Linked DNA regions of Nothobranchius furzeri. The protein of the gene in region 1 interacts with the protein of each later gene in a pairwise test. Links are inferred from orthologs where the notes say so. Each region holds a gene or a part of one and is shown on either strand. Other genes may lie near its edges.

Region 1 (7,576 bases):
GAGCTACCTGAACATTTCGAGGAGGTTTTGCTCAGACAGAGTTGCAGTAGTCTAAAGAGGAGAAAATGAAGGTGTGAATAACAATGTCAAGTTCAGAGCATGACAGAATGGGACTCACTTTAGCAATGTTCCAGAGATGAAAGAAGGAAGAGCGAACAAAAGAACTCCATCCATCCATTTTTGGTCGCTTATCCAGGGTTGGGTCGCAAGGGCAGTAGCCTAAAGCTGAGCGGACACTGTGACTTTTTCACTCGTAGCGTTCAGCTTCAGCTCAAACTGTACGACTTCCTAGCAGAGCAAATCTCACGAGTCATGTTCTCACACCGTATGACCCATTTCTCGGATGCGACCTGACTGCTCACACTATGTCGAGTAGCAGCACGTTGGACCTAATAATATGATAAAAAACAGCAGTTTTTACACAACACGCCTGACTTTTTTTGTGTTGTTACTGATGTCTGTTGTCCTTTAGGATGAGAATGCTGTTGGAGGACACACAGGGATTTATGGGGGATGGAGGAGGAAAACGAAAGAAAGTAAATCAGTGTTTTGTGATCAGTTTAATTTGACATAAACACGGCAAACATGCTTTCTTGATAATCCTTGTCATTGTGTGCGTAAAAAAGTGCACAAATGAAAATAAACGACGCATGTTAGCAGGGAAATAGCTGGCGAGCCGTGTTGACACATGCTTGCACATTCGCTGTGAGCAGTTCTGGTACTTTTTGGATTCGACCCGCTTGCAGCGCTGCTTCAACCCTCTCGAGGGACGAGCAAAATATCAAACATGCAAGAAGCTCATGATTGCTGATTGGTAGCTGGTCACGTGGTGTTAATCGCCTCTCGTTACCCCCTGTATACTACACGATGCTCAGCGTAATATTTGCCTCGATCTTGTGGATTCTTACACGAGTGGAAAAAAAAGGTGAAAAAGTCGCACAGTGTCTGCCCAGCTTAAGCAGGGATGCCCAGACTTCCGTCTCCCCAGCCACTTGGGCTAGCTCCTCCGGGGGAATCCCAAGGCATTCCCTGGCCAGTCGACAGACATAGTCCTTCCAGCCTATTTTGGGTCTTCCTTTGGGTTTTCTCCCGGATGGACATGCCAGGAAAACCTAACTATGGAGGCATCCAGAAGGCATCCTAACTAGATGTCCGAGCCACCTCAACTGGCTTCTCTCGATGTGGAGGAGCAGCGGGTCTACTCTGAGCCCCTCTTGGATGACCAAGCTCCTCACCCTATCTGTAAGGGAGAGCCCGGCCACCCTGCAGAGGAAACTCATTTTGGCCGCTCGTATCCACAATCTTTCTTTCGGTCACCAAAGCTTGTGACCATAGGTGAGGGTTGGAACGTAGATCAACTGGTAAATCGAGAGCTTTGCCTTCTGGCTCAGCTCTAATTTCACCCTGACAGATCGTTACAACGCTCACATCACTGCAGACGCAGCACCAATCCGCCTGTCGATCTTGTCCTCCATCTTTCCCCCACTCGTGGAAAAGACCCAGAGATGCTTAAACTCCTCCACTTGAACAAAATAATTGACATGGGTGATCCAGGGTGAGTGCTGGGTCAAAGGTCACACCGAGATTCTTGACAGGGGGTTTGGTATTAAGCCGGGCATACGCTGTGCGACTTTTTCACTTTTTTGACCCGATTTTCCACTCGTGCAAGAATCCACAAGATCGGGGCGAGTTTTGCGCTGAGCGTCGTGTAGTGCACAGGGGGTTACGAGAGGCGATTAACACCACGTGACCAGCTACCCATCAGCAATCGTGAGCTCGCACGGACTTCTGGCATGTTTGATATTTTGCTCGTCCCTCGTGAGGGTATCGCACTGTTGAAGTGATGCTGCGAGCAGCTGCGACCCAAAAAGTATCAGAACCACTCACGGCGCATGCTCAATCATGCATCAACGCCGCTCGCCCACTATTTCCCTAATAGCACACATTGTTCGTTTTTATTTCTACACTTTTTTTTACTCACAGAGATTGTCAAGAAAGCGTGTTTGTCGTATTCATGTCAAATTAAACTGATCACAAAACACAGATTTACTTTCTTTATTTTGTTTTCCTCATCCAACCCCCATAAATCCCTGTGTCCTCCTGCAGCACTCCCAAAGGACAACAGGCAAGACAAAAAAAGTCTGACGTGTTGTGTAAAAACTGCTATTTTTAGCATATTTTTTGGTCCGACTTGTTGCTACCAGACGTACAGTGTGAGCAGTCAGGTCGCATCCGAGAACTGGGTCGTACAGTGTGAGCACATGGCTCATGAGATCTGCCCTGCGATGAAGTCGTACAGTTTGAGCTGAAGCTGAGTGCTACGAGTGAAAAAAGTTGCACAGTGTCTGCCCAGCTTTAGAAGCAAGCTGACCAATGGCCGTTACACACTAGCATCAGCTCTACTCTGCCTGGCCAGGTTGGGGGAGTTCTCATTTATGTAGCCTTGGATTATTCTGTGCGTAACCGTACGTATTTTCAACCCTCTTCTCAAGGAGGTTTGCCTGGAGCCAAACTGGTCCAACACACCCATTGCTGACTGAAGCATGCATACCATTAGGGGTAGCCTCCGACTGGCAGACATAATCAGCCCACGGGGGCTTCCTGCATGCGTGATTCATTATCATTCTGGATGCTGTGGAGTTAACGAGCCTCTGACTGAAGCCATTTTTCTCTGCTCTCTGCTGTGAGGCATGCGCACACACAATGCTGCCAGACACATCAAAGCAGGATGTAATATCAGAGTCAGAGAGTCTCCAAAAGCAAGACTGCTCAGGCTACTTTGTTTAATAATGGAGACACCGCAGACTTCTCGATCATATTCCCCGCCCACGTGCGCTTGCAACATCACAGACCACATACCGCCCACATGCTCAATTACGTCCATATTGCTAAGGCAGTGTGGAACAAACGTGGCTGGGCTGGGGTAGGTGGCACGGAGTGGAGGCCATGCTAGTGTGTAAGTGGCACAAGAGAGGCTCTGACTTTGGGAATCAGGTTGGGAACCAGATGAGGATCTCAGCCTTGTCATCATTCAGCAGTAGAACATTCCTAGCCATCCAGTTTTTAAAAGAGTCTAAGCAAGTGTGTAATAGTTGCAGCTTAGGCATCTCTTGGAGATTGAAGGAGATGTCCAGTTGGGTGTCATCTGCATAAAGAGGGAAGATTCCTTTAAAATAGCTCAGGATTTGCTAGAGAGGAAGCAGATAAAGGAGGAATAGTAGTGGTCCCAGCACAGAGCCTTGTGGGACACCATGGGTGAGAGAGGTGGAGGAGGGCAAACATAGAAACGGTCATGATAAGGAACGCTCAGATAGATAAGAGAAAAAACCCTCCAGAGCAGTTGGCCTACCCAGTCTCTCAGCCTATCCAGTAGCAGGTAATAATCAACAGTCAGGTCCAGCAGAACCAGAACAGAACAGTCCCCTGCATCACTGTGACTCTGAAGGTCATTAGAGAGTCTAAGAGGAGCTGTTTCAGTAGAATGACATCTCATAGGGTTTAAAGGAGATGTACTGTTGAATGTCATCAGCATAAATATGTTGGAGATTCTTTAAAAAGTATGATTATTATTTATTTGATCAATTCAGCAAAACAGCCTTTTCAGTAGATTGCATTCAATCACAAGCCAAGTTTCATGATCTTGTATTTGGGTTGCATCAGGTTAGCTTTACATGTTAATCTAGTTCACGTTACTAATGAGGTAATTTCAAATATTAACAGTAGTAACAGATAGAATAAACATGTTAATTTCTACTTTTCAAATTAGCAGATTACAGGGTTACAGAAAAGAAGTATGCTGAATGCATCGTTAATTTTTTTGGCATTTATTTATTTTTGATGAAGCACAAACTTGTTTATCCTCTTGATGATTGTTGACAGCAGTGATCCAGGCAGGCTGATTTGGCTTCCCTTAAAACCGATTCCACGTCCTTCAAGTGTAGCTTGAAAGGGAGGAAAGAAATTAGTGTTTGAAAAATTAGGGTGGCATTTGAAAAGGGATAGTTTTTCATCCATCCTTTATGTGAACTGCTTATTCCTTATTAGGGTTGCAGGGAGCTGGTGCCTAACTCAAGTAATAACCCGTTGGAAGGCAGGGGCCACCCTGGACTGTCCACAACTCCATCACAGGGACACGCAGGGACAAATGAGACAGGCAACCAGTCACACACTCACTTACAACAAAGAGGCCATTTCAAGTTTTCAGTTGAGCTAATGTGCATGTTTTTGATCTGTGGTGGGAAACCTACACATGCATGTGCAGAACACGCTAAGTGTGCACAGAAAGACCTCAGCTTGGATTGGAACCTGTGAGCTTCTTCTGCAAGGCTACAGTGCTACCGACCGCGCCGCCATGCAGTCTGTTTGCCTTTTGATGTTACAAAATAGGTGCAGAAATTAAGGGAATTCTTTGGTCTCGTACCTTTGGAAATGGATACTTCGGTGGTGCTGGGGCTTTGTCCCTTCTAAAGTCCATCATGGTGCCACATTTTGCTTCTCCATCAACCCAAAAGCCTTCATAAAGCAGACCTTTTTCAGAATAGTACAACTTCCCGTCGCCGTTCATCTTGCCATCTTCCCAGGTGCCTTCGTACAGTTTTCCATTAGCTTCAACAGAAGATGGAAATGTTTTCATTGGGGGAGTGCAAATAACTGCTCATTTTTTATCAAAGGTATGTATAGCAACATTCTCTTACAGAATAAGTGTCCTTGCCCATGACTTTTATCCATCTGCCACTCTCCCACATAGATGTCGCCATTCTCATAGTGCATCGTTCCCTTACCACTACGTTGGTCCTCACTCCACTCTCCATCATAGACTGCCGAGTTGTTGTAAAAATACACCCCATAACCCTGAAAAGACATAGAGCGAAAGTATACTAAACAGAGCGTGTGTTCATGTTAGATTTGTGTGTTGTAACAGACTGTGAGACATTTACATGCTTCTTCCCATTTTTCCATTCACCAGCGTACTTCCTCACATACTCCTTTGATTTTAGGAGTAACACGCTATAGGTTCCGTATCCATTACGTTTTCCAAATTTCCATTCCCCATCATAGATGGCACCAGCTTGTTTCCACACCTGAATTCCCTTGCCTTGAAAAACAACACAGGACAATATAAAAGTTTTCAATTTACATGATGGTTTTTCAACAAATAAAGAAAGAAAAATCCAACCATGCTTCTTGTTGTTGAGCCACTCTCCATTGTATTGATTTCCGTTGACTGAGAAAACTGTGTGTCGAAGTACACATTTCTGTGATTTCATCTCTTTCAGTCTTGAGACTGAAGTTTTCTTAGTTAGTTTGTAATTTGGCATCACTTGGGGAGGTGTGGTGACGTTCTGTGTAAGAAAATAAATCATGAAAAGATATTAGTTGATTTTCAGTCATTAAACAAATAATAAATCTCATTACAGCAAGTATAACAAAAGCATGGCCCGGGGGCCATTTGAGGCCACGAGAATGATTTTGTGTGGCCCAAATTTCATTTCTTGAACTGTAGGATTTGTTTCTCCAGCATGCTGAAGATGTCATGTTCATTTTTACTAATATGTTTGAAGCGTAGAGCTGCAACCCTCGCAAAATAAAATTAGAGTGATATCACGTTAAGACATCATAATTTTATTGATCCAACAATCTAACGTTCATGTTTGTACAATACACTATCATGTTCTTACCATAGCATGTTCAAGTCTGTGCATATTTACCACGTTTGGAGAATATAATGTCACATTCTTACAATATACAGTACATATTATATTGTATGAATGGGACATTTATATTGCACAAACATGATAACATGTTGTAAGAATGTGAAAATTATACTGTCAAAACAGTAAAGTTAATGTTAGAACGTGACAACCTTCCAGTTTGTTTTGCGAGTGTTTGTGGCATCTCTAAAAGTTGCCACAAATACAGCCCATTTTGAGCAGTATTTTATGTATTGTTTTTTTTTTTACTTTTTCTTTTAAATAAATCACATTTTTGCTGCATGCAAGGATTTTTAACTTGAGGATTTTATTTTGGTTTTGAAAAGTTTGGACACATAGCCTTTGCCTAAACAAAAGTATTTTTACTGAAACTAGAAAATGAGCTGTACGTACATACGTGTGTAAACATCTATTTTTAACAGATCTTTAACGGCTTGTTGACAGAAAATACACTCAAAAACGAATTTTTAGCTTGAAAAGAAGGATGCCTTAGAGATGCGTCCACGCAGATGACCCACTTAAATAGTCTGCACATAAACTAACGCCATTGGGCTACCGAAGAATGAAGACTTGTCTAACCTTTCCTCTTGATCCATATATGCCGATTGATCTAAAGCTGAGAAAACAGTTTTGTTGTATCCTAGCAACAGTAACGCCTGCTGTGATTGGTGTGGCTTTAATCAAAACTTTGTAAACATTGAATCAGTAAAAGAAATGAAACTGAAGAAACGGTGCTGCCGATGCCTGAGAAAATTTTTGTTTTTGTTTATTATTTGCGCGTTTGTTTACTTTATGCGGGTTCACCATCAGATCATAAACGTTTAGCTGACTGGTGGAAGTGCGCATGCGCCAAGCAGTACAATTAAAACGCCTCTGAGTGGGACGGACGGAGCGCGAGCCCGCTTGGGGAAGAGTCGAGGAGCGAGGAACCTTGTGAAGCGTCCTCTTCGTAACTCCCTCTAGTGAACCACAATGTCCAGGCAACATTTCCAGGCAGAATGGAATGACATTGACAAGGAATATCAACAATTACAGGTGACAGGAAGCCTTTAATGAGTGTTTGGTGGGTGTTTCTTCAGGCAGCAGCGTATGGTGGATGACACTGACAGATGCAGTAGCGGCTTCTAGTAGTTTGGCTGTTTCTTCACCATTCGTATTCGGCTGTTTGTTTGAAACGCAGCGTTGACCCAACACCTACTGTTAGTTCAAATGCCTGCGCTATAAACCGTGTTTTGGTGTGTTTTTATCATCTTTGAGTAGACTACCATGATTGTGTTGTTGTAGCTAATGTTAGCAGCAGACGTCTCGTCCTTTTTGTGGTTTCCACCGAGAAGCAGCTACAGTAGAGCAAGAACTCAGTGACATGGTGCTGTGGGTTGCACAATTGCTATCGAGGTTATGTGAAGGTCCTAGGGTGGTCTTGTCTCAATTCCTTTGCATCAATAAACTACTTAGTAGCCACCAAAGTCATCCTCTATCTTTAGTAAAGAGGCTAGCTCACCTTTTAGCTGTAGTTGACCATCTGGAAACAACTTGGAGCAACAACTACGTTAAAGTCTGTGGATGGCTTAGATGTTTAATATTATATATATATATTATATATATATATATATATATATATATATATATATATAAAATCCTTAAGATGTGATGACAAAACGGAAGTTTTCATAATGTCTTCTGCTAAATCTGTTGATTTCCTGGCCACTGTCAGTTCTGAGATATGTAGGTTTGAAAAATACAATCAGTGGCTCAAAAGTACATCAAGATGAGGAAAAAACACAACGACATCAAGTTGACGTTAAAAGTACAGAGAAAAAGAGGACGATCGTGTGAGTAATACTGAAGGGAAAAAAGCACAACTG
Region 2 (11,461 bases), on another chromosome or scaffold:
GACCAAGGAGATCAATGTCATCTTCCAGAAAGGCCACAACAACTACCCCCCATTGACCATCGACGGCGCTGCGGTGGAGAGAGTGAGCAGCACGAAGTTCCTGGGGGTGCACATCAGGGAGGACCTCTCCTGGACCACCAACACAGCACCACTGGCCAAGAAAGCACATCAGCGCCTTTGCTTCCTGCGCAAACTCAAGTGGGCAAGTGCTCCACCACCCATCCTGATCACATTCTACAGAGGAACTATTGAAAGCATCCTCTCCAGCTGTATCACTGTGTGGGGCGGTAGCTGCACTGACTATAATGGGAAAGCTCTACAGCGCATTGTGAGAACAGCTGAGAGGATAGTTGGTGCACCACTCCCCTCCCTGCAAGACATTTACACCACTCGCCTCACCCGCAAAGCCATCACAATTGTCAACGACGCCACCCACCCTGCGCACTGTCTGTTCAGCCTCCTGCCCTCTGGAAAGAGATACAGACAAGGATCTCCCGCACTACCAGGCTTACCAGCAGCTTTGTCTACCAGGCTGTGAGACTGCTGAACTCTCTTCCCTCACGGATCCTAGCCAGCAGAATCACCAGGGTGACAGGAGTATAGGATGACAGACTGGACCCTACACAACCCCCCCCCCCCCCACCCCCCCACCCCCATATACATGCACATTATACAAAAAGGAAATAGTGGTTGAACCAAGAACGGGGTAAACATTTCTGATTGTAAACAACTACCTCTGCATTGCAGTTGCACACACCTGCTGCTATATGTTTTTGTATATTTTTAGCGATATTTACCTGTTTAATATTATCTTTTTGTTAGGGATGTTTTTGTTATTGTTGTGCATCTGCACTTTATGTTGTCAATGTCTATGCATGGGACAGTGTGAAATGTAATTTCAATTCCTTTGTATGGCAAGCACATTCGAAGAAATTGACAAATAAAGTATTCTATCCTATTTTATTCTATAAATGTGAATACATAAAGTCTGGCGATGACCCACTGACTGCTCTCAGTCGTGTGGTGATTGTACAGTTGCCTTTCAAACTGTCTAAGCATGCTATTGAACAACAAACAACATGATGTATTAACCGCCACGCATGTCAGTCAACGAGGCAGTCCGCCATACACTGCCAAAAGAGACGCGAGAAGACGGTGCTGGAGTTTTTTCAAGAAAATATTACTGTACATTTTGACAAATGGTTGTAGCTTTAAATGGTTGGAGATAAAGGTAAATTGTAAATGAGAAAAATCTTCAGCAGTAGTAGTTTGTGTTGGGGGCAAAATCAGTCATTTAATTAGCTTATTGTGACATCAGGCTGCCACATTGGAATCATTTTTTACAGACATTCCTTCTTATTCAGAAATTTACATTTTAGTTTTATATTTTTATTTATGTATACATACATAAAGTTATTATTTTATTGAATTGTACATTGTTTATGTAAATATTTTTTTATATATTTTTTGGCCTGACTCAAAAGAAATGCTTCATACCCATATTCCTCAGGGTTTTTGGGCTTATTCCCCTTCAGGGTTACCTCCCCTTGTATGTCAAGATTATTTGATCCAAGGAAAATTCCTCATGTAGACCAGATGGCTGGAATTTGTGGAATATTCATATCAACTGTGACTTTCACGCTCACATCTACCGTGTCTGCCCCTAAATACGGCTTTTAAAAGTTTTTTTTTACATTCCCACTACGTCAGTCACCATTAGTCCATGAAGCAGTATCTGGGGTTGAAGTACCGGAAACCCTCTCGGTTCAAACACTCCCCCTCTGCTAAAGATTCAGTGAGTACTAAAAGGAGCCCACGTTCAGCACGTTGGTGAACACCGCCCTCGCCCTTACCATTATTCACCGCGCCGTGACCATGCCGACCACAGCACTACTGCTCCAAGGTCAAGAGATGAGTCCGGTAACAGGCCTCCTGACGTTCTGAGCTGCATCCTGGAGTCTGTCTTTTCTGATTGGGTAAGCACCTCACCAAAGGCTAAAGTTCTGCTCATCTCTTCTGCAGACCAGAACATGACTCAGTCAAAGCGATGAGTCCTCCAAAAGTGGAACCGGCCCCAATGGTGCATCCTGTGACACCTGTGACCCCAGTGGGGTCCAGTGAGGTTGCGTCCATCAGCACCAGTCCTCGAACATCCAATGCACCTGTCAGTGGGTGAAGTAAACCTTTCCCGCTGGACAAACCTCAACTAAGACTTCTCTGAGATGTCATCTGTAAAGGTCCCAAACAGAAACCTTCCCTGTGACCCTTGAGGGGTCGCTAACCTGTGATGCTATCTTAGACACTGACTCAGACATTTCCATCATGTCCCATTCTCTTTGGGATAGGGCTGGGCAATAAATCAAAACATTTATCATCATCAAAATTCCTGACTCTTATCGGGAAAAATGTTCCCATGTCAATAAATTTGATAATAAAAAAATGAAAAGATGTGTGTAGGTTGGCAACATTCGTGTCAAAGCTGCACCACCTTGAGTCATGTAAAAATGTGACTCAACGTAATACATGTGACAGCCCCGTCTAATGGACAACTTTTGTTTCTGCGCATACCTGTAGTTATCGTTCATTTATCGTTATCGAGGTGAAATCCTCAACATATCATGATACTGATTTTAGGCCATATCGGCCAGCCCTACTTTGGGAATGCCTCCGCTTGGCTGCAGCTGGACAGGGTCGTGTCGTAACACTCACATCCTGTGCCGTGGATGTCAGTCCTTATGCTCCGGCTCCAGTGACCTTGTCGTCTGTGGCTTTCTTTGACCTTTCGGTCCATGCAACACCCAGTGTTCATGTCTGACCTAGAGTCTTTAACTTTACTGTTTGGCGAATACCTGCTCAATTGCTCTAAGCTCATTGTTGACATCTGTGGGTGGAAGCTCTGGACCCAGTTGACTCAACCGTTGACCATGGAGCTCCCCCAGGACCTTATTTCTACCGTAGGTGTTGTTAACAACAACAGCGCCAGTGACCGCCCTAGTGTCTGCGTCGTCTCTGCACCTGAAAACCTTCACCCTGAGATGGGTCCACCACCTACCAAAGGGGGAGGGGGTTGACCGAGGGCCCTCCAGAGCGCACCCCTGCATCGAGGCCTCAAAAGGCCGCTCCGCCTTATCATTAAAAGTTAACGCTATACTTTCTAATGACGAGGTTAAACACAAACATTTTTTTCTGCAGTTTAGCTCTAAAACTTCACTATAAGTCCGGTCCCTCAGTGTTTCTCTTGCTGTGTTTGACCTCTCCCCCTCTCTCTCCTGTTGCTAATTGAAACCTGCACCTTTGACCACCGGTGTTATGTCAGTATTCCGGTCAGTTCTGTAGTTGAAATGCGCTTCCTCACCACTTTGCACCAGTTTGCAACAGCTAATTACACCACCCAACACCTAATTGCAAGCTCGCTCCCGCGGTACAGTCCGGTTTTTGTTTAATATGAGCCACAGATCTAAGTTGTGCTTATTTATGAAAACTTTGTAGAATATAGTCGCACTAACGAGCGCCAACAGAGCAAAGCTCTGGTGTCACAATAACATGATGAGCAGCTCCTCTCTAACGGGGACGGCAGGCGGAACCAGGCCCCGACTGGGAAAATTGCCCCGTTTGAGTTCGGTGTTTTTTGGGTTTTTTTTTTTGGGCTAGTGTTACTCTGTTGATCACCTGTTTCTCCTGTCAGTGGAACAGGTGAGCTGCTGCCAACAAGCACTGTCGGCGCCAAAAAGGTCAAGAGGTCATCTACAAAATGTATTGAGCTGAAACTGCGTTCTTAGGGTGAAAAGCTTATTGAGCAAGAGTTCGTGTGCATCTCAACAATCAGCTCCAAAGGAATTTCCTGTTTTGGTCTGCTCTGCCTCTAGTAAAAGCCAGGTGCTTATCGTACTTGCTAACAGTGAACTTGATGTGACTCCAAACTAGGCTAGGCTGAGAACTCCGTCTCCGACTCCTTCTTTAAGAATAACAGAAAATGCCCACAGCACGTTCTATGCCCAGACTGTAGTGACCTGTCATTTATAATTATATAATTAATATTAAATGAATGCACTAACCCCAAAGATGATAGAAAATAAGATTAAATAAGCCTGAATATTTTCTCCCACAGCTCAGCTCTGATATAAAAAGCAGATGTCTGCTTAAACTGGACAATATCAAATATAAAAGTGGTCACAGATAGCTAAATTTTAATGAAAAAAATAACATTAATAATTTTTAATTAAAATATTTATTTTATTTCATTTCTAAGGTTTGGATGTCTGTGAACAATACAGAATACTCTGTTTAGTGTAAAGAATATTATTATTAGCAGGTCTAGATCTAAATCGGGTCGGTCTGAGGTATAAAACTCTGTCACGTTTAGGAGAGGAGCTTGGACCCAGGATGCAGAAGTACCCAGAACTACTCAAAGGCAGGAGAGGTTTTAAGAAAAAAACCAAACAATTCCTTTATTTAAGGAGGATGTGCTGTAAAGTCCAAAGCACAAAATAAGACTAACATGCAAAAACTTGAAAACTCTAAATTAAAAAAGCTCACACATGAGCATGGACTCGGAGACTCGAGAGGGGAACGAACAACGCAACACATACGACAATGACCCAACAAACACTGAAGGACAAGACCGGCTTTTAACACAGAGGGAAGCAATCAGGGGAACAGGTGTATTCAACCTTAACTAAATGTGAAGGAAAAATCAAGCAGAGGGGAAGATAAAATAACCTAAAAAACTCTAAATAACTAGAAACTAAGGGCAAAGATAAACAACTAATGACAAGAGGAGTAAGGGAGACTGATTAACAAGTGGGGAAGGACACAAACACTAAAGGGAAGTAATTAAATGAAAAGCTGAACCTATAGAAAATAAAACTACAGAGGGGTGACTAGGGGAGACCTGAGAAGCTGGGAAACAGGAGACACATGAGGAGAACGCAGAGGACAAACAGGATCATTAATACACATCATACACATATGAACAATCGCTGACTTTTCCATGAAATCATAAACACATACAGCCACACAGAAAACCATCTATAGTGTTGCAAGGCTAGCTAACTTTAGCGTTAGCGTTTCCAGCGGCAAAACCCTGGACTGCTGCGGCGGTTGAGGGTTGACTCTCTTCATCCAGATCCGTAGGTTTTTGTGGGTCGGAGATCACTTCCAAAGATTCATTCGTTTCTGACAGAATCCGTGGATTGAACGCATGATTTTGTGTCAACAGAGTTTACAGTGTTTACAGACCTATTGAAATGAGAAAACTTAAAAAATTTACAAAAAATCAGAGAAGTATTTTTTGCTCAAAGTAAAGTTTGTAGTACATAGAGCAGCTAAGTATTGACCTGCATGCATAATTTTGTGTCAACAGAGTTTACAGTATAGGAGTTTTTTTTAATTTAATATCACCAAAAGCAGAGGGGAGGGAGTAAAGAAAAGTGTAGTATTTTCTCTAAAAACATAAAATGTGTAATATGAGCATCCAAGTTGTGATTTTCTGTGTGAATTTGGTGTCACTATAGTTTCAAATGGAGGAGCTTTTGCAATTTATATTATTAAAAGTTTCACACTAAATCTAAACTGTATACCTGGATTAAACTAAATAGTGTAGTGTGATCAGCGTGTGTGCAGTGTTGTATTTTGTGAATTTGGTCACACTGCAGTGTGTAACTGTGCACTTTTCCCACATAGTTTATCATCAAACGTTTCTGGTGTGATTATTTGCTGACGGTCCCTGAGCGCTCGTTTTGCTCTGTCGGCCTCATTGAGATCAATTAACGCGTCGGGAGCAGAGCACGACAGAGAACGGATTTTTTTTTAAAGAAACGAAGTTGTAGCTTGCTCACTACCTTGCCACGATACCAAAGAGGTATGTTATGTTTCTAAATACCCCTGTGTTCAGGAGGTATTGAGCCGCAAAAGTCGAATCTGTGAATATCTTGCTAACTTTACTGAAGTCTCTCACCCTGCCGTCAGGACTTCCTTCGTCGAGCTCATCGGATCCTACGTCCGACATTGTCCGAGACAAGCTGGCTTTACTCCAGAAGAAGAACGCAGAAGAAACTGCTGGATAAACACTGCCTGTTGTTGCCGCTCATTTGGAGTTGTCGTGGCAACCAACCGTACCACGTGATCAAGGTAAGATGAGCAACGAGAGCGCATTACTGTAGAGTCATTCTACCTGGAAAACAATGAGGTCCACCTGGTCTGTCAATAAACATCATCTCTCTCTCTCTCTCTCTCTCTCTCTCTCTCTCTCTCTCTCTCTCTCTCTCTCTCTCTCTCTCTCTCTCCCTCTCTCTGTGTGTGTGTGTGTGTCTTAATTTATCTCAGATCCTCAACCACATCTCACATCTTCGTTCTTATGAAATTATTACAACCTTGAATATTATCTCTATTTTTCGTTACATGTTGTTTACAAAATTCTAAATTACATTTTTGTATAACAGGGAAGTGAGAGGTGAGGATTTGGGGTCATGAGGGTCCTCACTGCTCTACAAACTATGACTTCTCCATCTTATTTTATTTGTTGTTGTTGTTGTTTTACTGTTTAAAGGAATGACCAGAGGTGGAAAGAGTACTAAAATTTCCTACTTAAGTATGAGTACCAGTACTTTGATAATTTTTTACTCAAGTACAAGTAAAAGTACTTGCCTAAATTTTTACTCAAGTAAAAGTAAAAAGTATCGTAAATAAAATGTACTCAAAGTAAAAGTTACTTAGTTACATTTTTGTCAGTGTAAAGATGGTTACATCAGTGCAAAACCACACCACCAGTTCACAACATGCTCGTGTGTGCACGCACACACACGGACACACACACAGTTTGATGGAAGGATTTCTATCCAATCAGTGAGAACAGGACATGCACATTGATTGGATGAGGTTTTTCTAGGATTGTACGTTTCAATTGTGATTTAAATTATTCTTTATATTGAAAAAAAATGTTAATTTTTAGATGCCATCAGTATGTGAGGTATCTCAATGTTCTCATGACAACACTAACATGAGACTGTGCTCTAACCTGTCACATAACAAGCCTAATGCAGTCAAACATTTCAGATGGACCGTATGACAGCTGCTAACGTTGGCCCTGCCCTACTTTACCTCTACACTACAGTTCCTTTATCCATGTCCATCCTAGAGCTCCTCTCTGACCTATTTAGAGCAGCTGATTTTTAAAGTTAGCAGAGTTCATCCTTGGTAGTGGGTTCACTCACTCATTTAAAGATATCGGCTAGAGGCAAAATTCGTTTGAACAGCATGTGTAAATGTGTATTAAAACCTCAGATGAAAAGGTTTTTGGATTTTGACGGCTGGAATTGTAAGAAAATCTGATGTTTGTGACCGGCGCGGGAAAAACAGAAACTAACATCCGGTCTAAGCCCTGGGCAGCTGGTGACGTTTCACATGGAGCTCTGCTGAAACAGCTGTAGTAAACAACGCCTGTCTCCGGTGTTTCTGCATTAGCGTTATAGCAGAGAACAATGTGTCATCAATCAGATGTAGCTTCTGAAGCCTCTGCTAGTCGGTCAGATTTGTTTTTTCTCTGGGATACGGCGACGAGAACGGATATTGGATTACCGGAGACGTTCAACCGAACCCCGACCCCGCCAGCTGGATATCACTACCAGAGGTCAGAGGCAGTTTTACCATTAGGCATAGGTCGGCGGCCGCCTGGGGCCCCCTTGTGTTGGGGGGCCCCCTAGCCCTGACCGCCGGCACCCCTCTGTTAATGCCACAATATTCTTATTACCAACCTGTGGCCGCAGACGGGATTGGACATGCACACTTCTCATTACCATAATTCCTGAACAATTCAAGATATCATTAAAATTCCAAAAGTGCTGAAAAGATTAAAAATGGGGCTTTTCGTGCATATACAATACATTACGGTAGCCACCGGCATTCCCTGTCTTGAGCGCAACGAATCACAACACAGATTCAGAGACGTGCTGAGTTTGTCATCCAAAATGCTCCGTTTTATAACTTTTGAGTGGATGATCAGATTCAGAACATTCCAACGGTTCCTAAACGTACATAAAAGCAGCTTTCCAACGACCTATAGCATGAATCAATCAGAGTTACGGAAAATATTGCTACGAGGGGAAATCCTGCTGTACAGCCTGATTGAAAAGGAGCGCAGTGCCGCGGTGAAAGCGGATAACGGAACGGGGAAGCTAATTAGCATAAAACCAGCATGAAATTATGGAAATGCCCCAAAGAAAATCAACACGATCTATTAGGTGTCCCAGAAGGCTTATATCTGAAGACAGTGACCACGAAGGACAGATCTCCAGTGAACCAGGGTATGAATGTTTGTTCCGTCTTTATTTTTTATTTTTTTATTGGAACAACCCTCAACTATTTGCTAATTGTAAGATTCAGCTTCATTCCAGCATTATTTATCATTTTACAATAAATAATTATTTTTACTAAAACAAGTTTTTGGTATAGCAATGCACGGTGTGCAAGAGAAGCACTCTATGGCAGTGTGAGGTGTGCAGGACTCGGCCTGCAGCTGGAGAGAAACTGCTTCAAGGTCTACCACATCAAATAAAAATGTCTGAAAGTTTACAAAAATAAATGGTCTTAAAAACTGCTAATAAAAGATACCAAGGTTCACACTTTTTAAGAATAGATGCATTTCAGTCCAAAGTTTAAATTGTTCACCCAGTAATTTTGAAGTTCCTGTTCAGTAATAAATGTAAAAAATTCAAATCCGTTTTTTGCTTTTTTCACTTTTAAGCTGATTTTTGAAAGGCTGTAATAGAAATAAATTCTAAATACAAACCATACACTGAAAGCTGAGGTTGTTCTGAAAAAATAAGAGTTACACACACTTTGCACTTTTTATTACTATTTTACAGCCATAAGATTAAAAAAAATACCAGGCGGCCCTGTTATAATTATGGTCATAACAGGGTTATTAAGACGGTGATGCACAAACAGGAAGTGATTGGTAGTCATTCCACTCCAATCCAGTTGGTGGCGGTAATGCACCAAATGGTTGTTTGCCAAGTGCCATAAGACCACAAATAGTAAGAAGAAGAGAGGCAGGGGCGTTCGTAACAAACTCAAAGCGATAGTCAAAACATGAAGCATGAAATGGCGTTATCCTAGTGGCTCCAATAAGAGAAAGAAGCAGCTTGCTTCATAAAAGCTTTTATTTTCACTTCTGAAATTGACATCGTTTTTCGATGTAAACATCAAAAGGAAGCAGAAAGGAAAGACAATGGAAAAGGGAGGAAAACATAGACCAAAATGGAAAATAGAAAAAAATACCAAAGGCAAAAGCACAGGAGCACTGACAGGAAGAAGAAAGAAGAGCAAATATTGAAAGCGCTCAAAGAGAGGGAAATACAGGAAAAGGGAAATAACTCATGTCAGAAGAGGGGAGAGTTTCACAAATCTAGTTAAAGGTAAGATTGTCGAAAATTTAGTGTAAGGGGCCCCATGTCTGTGTTTGCTTTGGCACCCCAAATTGCTAAATCCGCCTCTGCCAGAGGTGCAGACATGTTTTAGACCGTTTGACTCAGAAGACCTGCGACCCGATTTGGACATAGAGGAGGATTCTGTTCATCTTCAGAAACAAAATTGGTACAGTTTGTTTACCTTTCTTAAATATTTATTTTCTGTGCTCCACTGGGAGCTCTAAGCTGACGAGTTCTCAGCTGGTCTTAGCTCCATCATGTGTCCCAATCAAGCCCCCACAATGCGAGTAAGGTCTAGCTGCGGACGCAGCCCCGGCCAAACACGCCCCGGCCAAACACGCCCCTATGTACAAAATTTGTACGCGTGCATGTACGAAGACGAGAACTCGCATGCGTGTTGCAAGAGATGGAAATGACGGTTCAGGTAAAGTCAGATTTATATTTTTACAACTTGCGAAGATTTTGTACTAGAAATTTGAACGTTTAAGACATAGTTTGATAGATAGCACATTCGTATTTTTTTTCTGAAACACTTTTATATAAAATTAAGCATTATTGGCAGTGGGGGAAGATGTCATGGATGCAAATTTTTTTAATATAATTTTTAATGGGCTACTTGCAAGCCTTTTGGCCAAAATAAACGTAACAATAGGCTATTTATTTGACCGTTTATGACTCCTCATCTAATAAGCAGCAAACTCACGACGGCAATGTGGTAGCCCGGAGGTATGCTACAAACACAAGAACAGTGCTAATGCCTATATGTATTGTTTTCACGTTGTTTATGACAGCCTCTAGGTGTAAATGTCATTTTTACTAATTGCTATTTATCTTTGTCTCATTAGTGAGAGGCAGCTGATGTCCTATGCCATGGAGCTGCTCATATACACGGAGAAATTCAGAAAAGCTCTGGACTCATCTCATTGTGTGGACATTTTTTATATTTATTTTTCTTATTAATGAGCATCCGAAACCATGAAATTTAAATGTAATAGGGTAAACCCAGTGCATTTAACATAATGCTGCACTTTAGAAAATGGGTTGAAATATAACATGTTGGTGGAGCTGGGTTCCGACTATCGGCTCATGGAGCTCTCAGGAGACCGATGTTTTCCACCTGTTTCTCCCCTCCCCGCAGCTTGGTGCATCTCTGTCTGATCGCGGCTTCTGTCTGCTGCGCGGGTAAAACTCCGACGTCGGTTGAGTAGTTTTAAGTGGTGTTTTTTACACTTTGGTGTTAAAAAACTTTCCGGTGATGTCATCCAGGCTTCCCCCCAGTGCTTTATAAGCCTGGCGGACCACCAGGCCTTGCTTGGCCTCCCGTGCATACCCCGCCCCCTTCTCATAGTCTGCCAGGCTCAGCTAGTTTTCTGGGGGAAACCCCTCCTACTATTACCTTTGTACTCTCTTTAAGAGAAAGGACTTGTCTTCTCAAACCCCCCAGTGAGTCGTGACAGACGGCTGTTAAAGGGGAGTTTTCCCCTCCACCGTCACCACATGCTTGCTTAGTATGAGGATTGCTGTAAAGCCTCTGACACTAGTCAGTGACTCGATGCAATCCACTGGGTTCCTTATTTAGGAAACTTTTAACTGATTGGAAAAATGAACTGAACTTAATGCACTGCTTAATAAGTTCAATCGGAAAGTTAGCTTTGTAAAATGCCTTGCGGTGAATTGAAATGTGAATTGGTGCTGTTTAAATAAACTGAACTGAAATGAATTGGAATCTTTTAGTGCGGAGTTTTTATGTTGTGTTTTTCTCCAGGAGCTCCGGTCCCCCCCCCCCCCCCCCCCCCTCCCCGGAAAAATGTAAAAACAAAAAGCAAAATAAAAGCAATAAAACAACACTTGTGACCTGCACTTGGACAAGTCTATTCATATGACATATTTTTTATTTGTATTTGACAAATTTCTATACAGAACTGCTTCCTGAATTTTAATCTCAGATCATAACAGAATTGCTTGTGGTGGCCTCATGGAGGGGGCCATCGACTAGCACACTGCTGCTAACCACTTAAACATTCTCCCTCTCCTGA

What was found. The genes of interacting proteins can lie anywhere in the genome.
Region 2: the proteins of morn3 (region 1) and rsph1 interact in binary tests that used the Homo sapiens proteins (3 or more experiments, as listed by UniProt). The two-hybrid records come from large-scale screens. The link is inferred for Nothobranchius furzeri from reciprocal best matches to the Homo sapiens genes MORN3 and RSPH1.

Annotation. Positions count from the first base shown.
Region 1 is NC_091746.1:51,960,321-51,967,896, forward strand, and holds morn3 (MORN repeat-containing protein 3), read right to left. Parts: upstream 6,421-7,576; 5' UTR 6,291-6,420; intron 5,343-6,290; 5' UTR 5,319-5,342; coding exon 5,177-5,318; intron 5,096-5,176; coding exon 4,938-5,095; intron 4,852-4,937; coding exon 4,695-4,851; intron 4,606-4,694; coding exon 4,421-4,605; intron 3,942-4,420; coding exon 3,855-3,941; 3' UTR 3,809-3,854; downstream 1-3,808. Other genes in the region: tmem120b (transmembrane protein 120B), read left to right, coding at 6,684-6,746. UniProt on the Homo sapiens protein: Assembles a suppression complex (suppresome) by tethering SIRT1 and MDM2 to regulate composite modifications of p53/TP53.
Region 2 is NC_091756.1:21,500,276-21,511,736, reverse strand, and holds the start of rsph1 (radial spoke head 1 homolog), read right to left. Parts: upstream 6,147-11,461; 5' UTR 6,008-6,146; coding exon 5,957-6,007; intron 1-5,956.